Linked DNA regions of Canis lupus familiaris. The protein of the gene in region 1 purifies or fractionates together with the protein of each later gene. This does not show direct contact. Links are inferred from orthologs where the notes say so. Each region holds a gene or a part of one and is shown in the gene's direction. Other genes may lie near its edges. The genes, in order: PRDX1 and TXN.

Region 1 (4,300 bases):
TAGCAAGAAGAGACAGGCATATAAACATATAAAATAGCTTAAGAGGGCAGCCCCTGTGGCTCAGTGGTTTAGAGCTGCCTTTGGCCCAGGGTGTGATCCTGGAGATGCCTGATCGAGTCCCACTGATCGAGTCCCACGTCGGGTTCCCTGCATGAAGCCTGCTTCTCCCTCTTCCTGTGTCTCTGCCTCTCTGTGTCTCTCATGAATAAATAAACAAAATATATATATTTTTTAAAGAGGTATTTTGTATAGCTTCTGGCCTTACAGGATGTTGTTTTGGGCACAAAGGACGGAATGATAAATTCTGGGGAGGAGCAAAAGCCAGAACAGCTTTCCAGGACTTTTGAGGATGAGCCAAGGTCCGGAACAGTTCCAGAAGTCATGCTTCGGCGGTCTTCAAAGACATTTTCTCTAGGTCTACTAGGAGGGAACAGATTCTTCATATTTGAACAAAAGCCTGAAGTCTTGAAACAGCGACACATTGTTCTGGGTGTTACAATCCAGCTAGGAGCAAGGAAGAATTCTATAATAACAGCTAACATTTCTAACGTATAATAAGAACTAGGAATTGTGCTAAGTAAGCCACAAAGATGATCCCAAGGAATTACTAGTTTTTTTCCATTTTACGGGTGAGAACAATCAAGGCCACACATAAAATGACAATGAGTTTTAACTCAGGAAACAGACTACGGAGCCCCAGTTTTTAAAACCACAAATCAGAGGAGTGAACTGATCAGATTTCAGAAAGATTCCCTCTAGCCGCTGCGTTAGGAGTGGGTGGGAGAAGGAGAGCAGCAATCCTGTAAATCAGAATAATGAAGGAGGTTGTCTAGGTACTGAGGCAGCACTACGGCAGAGGCTGCGGGGATCGGGGTGGCATATGTGAGAAACACTTGACAATTTTAAGTGCTTGATGTGGATTAGACGTAATCCTCCGTGGGGCAAGACCAATACCGCGGTCTGGGTCTTGAGGGCAGGACGCGCAGGAGACCCTCGCAGAGATCCCAGAGTAACAGGGGCATTGGGGCCTCGACACCGCCGCCCTCGGCTCCCCGACCCTAACCGTCGGCAGCAGGGAGGGGGATCCCAACCTTCCGAGCCCGAGCCCGCCCACCGCGAGGGAAAGTGCTGAGTCATTCTGGCGGGGCGCGTTGGCTGGGGCGGGGGCGGGGCCAGATCCCCCTTCCCTCTCCTCCTCCTGCACCCCCAGCCCGCTCTGACTCTCGCGAGAGCCCCGCAGGCTATAAAGGCAGCGCCCCGCGCTCGCCTCACGCGTCTTCTTCCTGACTGGTTATCGGCGGTTAGTCTCCTCAGCGCTGGTGAGAAGGTTCTCCACGCCCGGGTCGTCGTCTTTTCCTGGTTCTCCCAGGGTCTTGCCCTACTTGGCTTGGGTGCTGTGACGGGGGAGGTGGCTGGACGAGGTCTGGCGCTCGAGAGTAGTTAGGCGGTCCGCGCGCCCTCCCTTACGGACGCGGGGACCTGTTTAAACCCTGAGGCTAACGTCGGTTCGAGTTTCCTCTTCCCCCGGCAACCCGAGCGGAGGGCGCTCATTGGCGCGGCGAGGGGGCCTCGTGGTAGTGGTGGGCTCTCCTCAGCTAGGCTCCTTCCGGGCGGGGCGGGCTCAGGAATCTTCTAGAGTGGACCTGGAAACTGACCTGAGGCTACCCGCCTGTCGTGTGGTGGAGGTGATGACTGTTCCCGGCCCTCCGCTGGGCCTACATGGGCAGTTTCCGGTACTGATTTCCTACCCTGGCTTTATTTTTTGCGTTTGTGTAATAGGGTTGTAGTGATCTCAAATTTGTCAAGACTGCTTTTTTTTCTTTTTTTTTTAGGGGGGGCGGCTAGTGCTTTCCTAAGTGCTGTGGTGGGGTTTCTCATGGGAGCGGCAGGAGGGAACCTGAAGCGGGATTTGGGGGCGTGCCTTTAGCCTTGGAAGTTCATGGGCAGATCCACCGAGGCCCACGCCGCCTTGAGGTCTAAGGGCCTTTACCCCGCCGAGTCGGTCTTTAGTGGACGTGAGAACCACGTGGAAAAGCAGGTTTGGATGAGGAGGTCGTTTATGTTAGGATCACACACCCCCTCTATATTTGGTCGCCAAATTGCAACTTGCCTTACTAGGTTTTTTTTTTTTTTTTTAAAAGGCGTTAGCAATAGAAAGTTTGCAATAATAGATGCTTGGTTTTATGCACCAAAAAAGTTTGGGATTTGGGAAATTAGCTTCTTGAGCCTTTCAAACTGATGACTTACTGGTTTACATCTTAATTCCTTAACTTTGTGTTGACCTGAGTGAATCCAGTGCAGCATTGCTTTTTAGCAATGATTTGTTTTGCAGTAAGGATTTTTTTTTAAGGTTAAGTAATCTCTAAATCCAGCATGGAGCTCTAACCCACAGCCCTGAGATAGAGTCACATGCTTCCAACCAACTGAGCCAGCTAGGCTTCCCAGCAATAGACCCTTGTTCCACTTGCTGCTCCAGAATCCTGGCCCTGAGGTCAGAAACCCACCTTTTTTTTTTTTTTTTTTTAAAGATTTTATTTCTTTATTCGTAGAGACAGAGAGAAAGGGGCAGAGGCACAAGCAGGCTCCATGCAGGGAGCCTAACATGGGACTCGATCCAGGGTCTCCAGGATCACACCCCAGGCTGCAGGCGGCGCTAAACCGCTGCGCCATCGGGGCTGCCCAGAAACCTACTTTTGAAAGGACTTCTAGGGCTTAAACACAACCCTTGAAGTTTTGCAATTTAGCAGATGGGAATCATGTCTCTTAAAGACTTGGATTAGGGGGGCAGCCCCTCTGCCTGCCTCTCTCTCTCTCTGCCTCTGAATAAATTAAAAAAAAAAAACAAAAACAAAAACAGAAAACCAGAGTTGGATTAGGGGTGTGCGGTCTCTTGGGCAAATGTACCTGGAGAAAGGTCATGTGGACTTCTTGAATTCTGAAGACAGATAAAGATGCAGTCCAGAGAAAGGGCAACATGACCACTTCTAGAGATCAGACATTCTGTTTGTGGAATTGTTCATTTGGGCTCAGCTTTGATATCGAACCTTCTTTCTCTGGAGCTTTTTGCATAATGAGAGTACAGAAAATGTCACTGCATAAATGATCGTTTAGGAAAAGTAAGAGGTTACTTCAATTTTTAAAAATTGCTGTTTTTAAAGGAAAACAAAAGCTGATGTTCAGAGAAGTATTCTGATTTTTTTTTTAAAGAGTTATTTATTTATTCATCCAGAGAGTGAAGAAAGAGGCAGAGACACAGGCAGAGGGAGAAGCAGGCTCCATGCAGGAAGCCCGACGTGGGACTCGATCCTGGGTCTCCAGGATCACACCCCGGGCTGCAGCCGGCGCTGAACTGCTGCGCCACCGGGGCTGCCCTGATTTTTTTTGTTTTGTTTTAAGAGTGAGTCTTCTAGCGCAGGGGAAGGGAAGAGAGAGAAAGAATTTTAAGCAGGCTCGGTGCTTAGCCTTGAGTTCATGAACTGGGTTTAAATCAAGAGTCAGACGTTTATTTTTTTATTTTTATTTTATTTTATTTTATTTTTTTTTTAATTTTTATTTATTTATGATAGTCACAGAGAGAGAGAGGCAGAGACATAGGCAGAGGGAGAGGGAGAGGGAGAAGCAGGCTCCATGCACCGGGAGCCCGATGTGGGACTCGATCCCGGGTCTCCAGGATCGCGCCCTGGGCCAAAGGCAGGCGCTAAACCGCTGCGCCACCCAGGGTTCCCTTATTTTATTTTTTTAAGAGTCAGATGTTTAAAGGACTGACCCACCCAGGCGCCCTGTAATATTTGGTTTTGTTTCATAAGTTAGAAAGCTCAGTTTTCTGAGCTTTCTCAGATGCGTCTTACTAATATAAAAAAATTAGTATGTATATTTAGGGCCACTGGATAATTCTTTTATTTTGTAGCTAAGTGTCTAGGTAGAAGGGTGTTGGTTACTTAGAAAAATAAGGCTTGTTTCTAATTTACTTCCTCTTTTCTCCAGCCCATAGCAAGATGTCTTCAGGAAATGCCAAAATTGGGCATCCTGCTCCCAACTTCAAAGCCACAGCTGTTATGCCAGATGGCCAGTTCAAAGACCTCAGCCTATCTGACTACAAAGGTAAGAGTAATTATATTAGATTTATTAAAATGGAATTATTTTACCATCTAGGATGGATCATTAGATTTCTGTATATCTGTTAGGTTTGATTGTAAAACGACTTCTCCCTCCTAGGTCAGTCTTCAAAGTAGGTGGCTGTTTTTATGTTGAAGTGATGTAGTGATTACCAACCATGATGACGGATAATCCTGTAGGTTCA
Region 2 (4,391 bases), on another chromosome or scaffold:
GCTCCTCAACCCTGCAGGCACGATGGGTTCAAACCCCTGGTTTTCTTCCTTCTGTCTGCAAGAGCAGGGAGAAGGAAGGCAGGGGGCAGTTTCACCATCCCAACAAACACACCTAGAGGTAGCTCCATCCAGAGCTGCTCCCCCGCTGAAAAATTCCTGCTCAGACCCCCACCCCAACACCTCCACCCTCCAAGCCTCCATTCCTCTCCAGCTCAAAGCCTTTGCCACCTTCACCTCCTGCCGCTGACGGGCCCTCCTGAGGCCTTCACAATGCCTACCAACCTACCAGACCCAACCTGCAACACGCATCCCTGGATCAACACCTCTGTTCCGGGTTCTACCAGTAGTAGAAAAAAACTCACACAAATGTGTGTACTGGCGCCATTATAAATATAAGGTCGACAAGAGCAGCATTACCCCCCACCCCGCCCCAAACAAGGACACCAAGCAAGCCTAATTAGTACTCACACCAGCTTTGATTATAACTATTGGGTACTTGCTATGGTACCAAAGCAGTGTCCTAATGGCTTCACAAGCACTTCATTTCATCCTCAAAACACCCCTGGCATGAATTAGAGACCAGCAAGATCCCCATTTTACAGACAGGAACACTGAGGCATCGGGACGTCGGGACGGCCCGCGGCCGCACCTGCACCAGTGGAGCCGCACGTACCCCCCCCCCCCACGCAGGTGCCTGCAGGTCAGGAGCCCAGCCCGTTTCCTGCCCTCCCACGCGCTAGAGTGCAGTGTCACGCCGGAGCAGCGGCGGCTCCAACGGTGAAAGTAAAAGAAAAGGAAAGAGGGCAGAGAAGAGAGCCGTCGCGATAAGCTCCAGCGAAGAGGCATTTCCTGGTCATCGTTACTCAGCACTTTGTGGGGTTTGCGGGGCCGGCGGGGGGCGGGGAGGGGGAGGAGTGTGGCGGACCTTTTCGAGGAATCCGGCCCTAGCTAAGCGCATCCGCCCCGTCTCGCACGTGGGGGCCTTCGGTTACGGCCGATCCCCTCCCGGGTGGCTCCGGGGCTCTGGGGGACCCGCCCCCCGCACAGAGCGCCCCGCAGGCGCCCCCGCGCACCCCGCTCCCAGCTGCTGCGCGGGCGGGCGGGGCCCCGGGCTCCGAGCCCGGGCCGCTCCCGGTAGCCCCGCCCCGCGCCCGCGGCGACCCCGCCCCCTGGAGGCCCCGCCCCCTGGAGGCCCCGCCCCCGGCCGGCGTCTCCGCGGTTCCGGAAGGCGGGGCCTGGCCGGGGCTCCGAGCGGGCGCGCCCCCGCCACACGCACGCCGCGCGCGCCCGCCCGCCCCGCCCCCAGTCGCTATAAAGGGAAGGCGGGCTGCGTCCCCGGCAGGCCCCGGCCGGCGCCCTGCACCCGCTCCCTCCGTCTCGCGCCGCTCGTCAGACGCCAGCCGCCAAGATGGTGAAGCAGATCGAGAGCAAGGTACGCCGCCTCCGTCGCCGGCCAGGGGCGAGGGCGAGGGCGAGGGCGAGGGCGAGGGCGTCGGCGTCCCTGCCCGGGGAGGGGACGCGGCGCCTGGGCCCGGGAGTGCGGGACGCCGGGGCCTGGGCGCGCCTGGGGCGGCCGAGCGTGCCCCGCGGGGAGGGAGGCCGGGATGGGCGCTGGATGCGGGGGCTGCCGTGGCCAGGGCGCCGAGGGCCCCCCCGCTCCTGCACCCCGTGCTCGGGAGGCCGGGTCGGCCGCCGGGATGGGCGCTGGATGCCGGGGCTGCCCGTGGCCGGGGCGCCGGGGCCCCCCCATCCCGCTCCTGCACCCTGTGCTCGGGAGGCCGGGTCGGCCGCCGGGATGGGCGCTGGATGCCGGGGCTGCCGTGGCCAGGGCGCCGAGGCCCCCCCCGCTGCTCCTGCACCCCGCGCTCCCGCGGCCCGGATGCTGGGGCTGCCCGCGGCCAGGGCGCCGAGCGTCCCCCCCGCTCCTGCTGCACCCCGGTGCTCGGGAGGCCCAGTTGGCCGCGGGGATGGAGACGGCCGGGCCGGGCGCTGGATGCCGGGCTGACTGTGGCCAGGGCGCCAAGGGCGCCCCCCACCCCCGTCCCCCCTGCACCCCCTGCACCCCCGTGCTCCGGAGAGCCGGGCCGGGCGCTGGATGCCGGGGCTGCCCGTGGCCAGGGCGCCGAGCCCCCCCCCTCCCCCGCTCCTGCACCCCTTGCCCGGGAGGCCGGGTTGGCCGCCGGGGTGGGGCGGGGCCGGGCGCTGGAGGGCGCGTTGGAGGCGGCGGGCGGGCGGCGTGTCCCCGCGGCCTCCTGCAGTGCGCGGGCCCAGGTGGCGGCGGGGAAGCGCGGCGGGCGCGCCCTGGGACTCCTCCTCGGCGGCGCTGGGCGTGTTTCCGGCGGCGCTGGCGGTGGGATGACTCAGTGCGCGGGGCCGGGGCCGGGGCTGGGGCTGGGGCCGGGGCCGGGCCCGGCCCGTCGGGGGCGCCGCGTGCTCGGGGCCCGGGCGGCAGGTGCGCGCCCCCGGCGGTGCTGGAGCCCCGGGGAGACCCTCGAGAGCGGGGAGCGGTTACCTGGCGGCCGCTCCCATCCCGGCCCTCGCCCGCCTTGAGCGTCTGGACCGGAGATGCTGGGTGGCTTCGGAAATGCGAGCTGCTCTGTAGGGGTGCCCACCGTTTGGTTGACCCTTATAATCAGAAAGCCTGTATGATCGTTGTAGAAAACTGAGCGCGCACGAGAGCTTCTGTTTCCTACAAGCAAGTCCAAAGTGGTTGGTTATTTTACGTATCCTGTTTTGTTCCTGAGCCTCCCCCCCCCCCCCCCCCCCCCCCCCCCCAGTTTAGCCTGAACCCTTTTTTGTGTAGTTGGCAGGTTTGGAATCCATGCAATACCTGAACATGTTGCTGGACATTTGGGCGGTTTTCAGTGCCTCGGTGAATGTTTTTGTTCATGCCCCCTTGCAGAGTTCAGGCTTGTTTCCTCAGGTTAGGGTCCAGTGCAGTGATGGGGTCAAGGGGTGTGAACCTTTTATTTAAGGCTTATAAGTCCCCAAGAAGCATAGGCGAGTGCTCTTCCCCTCCACCCCCATCGACACTGACCTTTCCCCCTCTAACTTTGGCCAAATCATTAGTAGGAAAAATTGTATCTCCTTTGATTATTAGTGACTCTGAACTCACCCCGCCCCATTTGTTGATGGATTAATTACGATTTGTTATCTACTTGTCCTGAGTTTTTTTCCTATTGACGTTTTATTATTATTGTGTGAGCTTTTATATTAAAATTAGCAATCCTGTCATTTGTTGGAGAGGTCACTAATATAGAATTTTGTTCCCCCCTACTTTTATTCAGTACCCACTGAGTGACAAATCAGTCTGGGTGTGTGTGTGGGGGGGTGTTCCCCAGAGTCTGACCTCTTCATCAGTAAACCCAACAGGTGAGAACCCATAAAGGAGGGAGAAGACTTTGAGTGGTTTACAGTCGTTGTCTCAGAATGCATACCTACAAACAAAATCGGTTGATTCCTGGAACACCTCTATCAGTTTTTCTGTATCTTAGTTGTCATACTTTTGGCGTCCTCCTCTCCTCATCAAGGAGAAGACATACAGGGGTGACCAGAAATTGGTCACACACACACACAAAAAAACCACTACAGCCTGGAGCGCAGAGACCCCGATCATTCAGCTGATCTTCAGAATTAATGTTCCAGGGACGTTAATCAAAAGTTAAGCTCGTTTCAGTGTTACTTGCAAACGTTGAATACACTTTAGATTTTCATCCTGCTGGACTAGAGTTGGTGCCGTTGGCCATCCAGGACAGCTCGTTCTAAGGTGCGATAGTTCAGAACCACTGGTATCTATTTGAGATACAAGTGGGATAACGGACTGTCCATGTGGCTTGGAAGAAATCACACCGTTGTGTGTTATTTTTAAGAGTAGTAGCTGCCCGTTTGTTGAACTCCTACCCTCTATACATGGGCACTCCCATGCCTGTTAATTATCTTTGGAATGGGGCTGTTTAGGAAAAAAGACTCTAGACTCTGCTCTCATCTGCCCCAAATATTTTGTTTTTGGAATATTTAGATCCATAATGAGGACCTTTATTAATGTTCATTGTTAGTCTCTGGGAGTTAGACGTTGTGGTTTGCGTCTTGGTGAGATAATCTTGACCTACTCATTCAAACCGATGTCTCTTTTAGACAAACTTAAGTATCAGGAGAAGAGAATTGGTTGTGACGTCTACACCTACCTGGCTCTGTAACTCTTCAGTTAAGCCAAAAGTTGCTGCGTGCCTCTCTTCTTTTCAGAATTTTAGGTAGCCTTGCTTGAATTTGATTCAGAATTGTTTGGGAAACCCTTGACAGTGTTTGTATACTATTTTGTTTTGAAAGTAATTTCACCAAGTATTTACGGAGGGCCTGCTATGTTCACAAAACAGTGCATTTGTGTGACAGTA

Evidence for each region.
Region 2: the proteins of PRDX1 (region 1) and TXN purify together in Homo sapiens (affinity purification with western blotting; 3 studies listed by BioGRID, with this or other methods). This does not show direct contact. The link is inferred for Canis lupus familiaris from reciprocal best matches to the Homo sapiens genes PRDX1 and TXN.

Annotation. Positions count from the first base shown.
Region 1 is NC_049236.1:14,929,544-14,933,843, forward strand, and holds the start of PRDX1 (peroxiredoxin-1), read left to right. Parts: upstream 1-1,287; 5' UTR 1,288-1,319; exon of another isoform or gene 1,320-1,579; intron 1,580-3,984; 5' UTR 3,985-3,995; coding exon 3,996-4,101; intron 4,102-4,300. UniProt on the Homo sapiens protein: Thiol-specific peroxidase that catalyzes the reduction of hydrogen peroxide and organic hydroperoxides to water and alcohols, respectively.
Region 2 is NC_049232.1:65,600,153-65,604,543, reverse strand, and holds the start of TXN (thioredoxin), read left to right. Parts: upstream 1-1,292; 5' UTR 1,293-1,408; coding exon 1,409-1,432; intron 1,433-4,391. UniProt on the Homo sapiens protein: Participates in various redox reactions through the reversible oxidation of its active center dithiol to a disulfide and catalyzes dithiol-disulfide exchange reactions.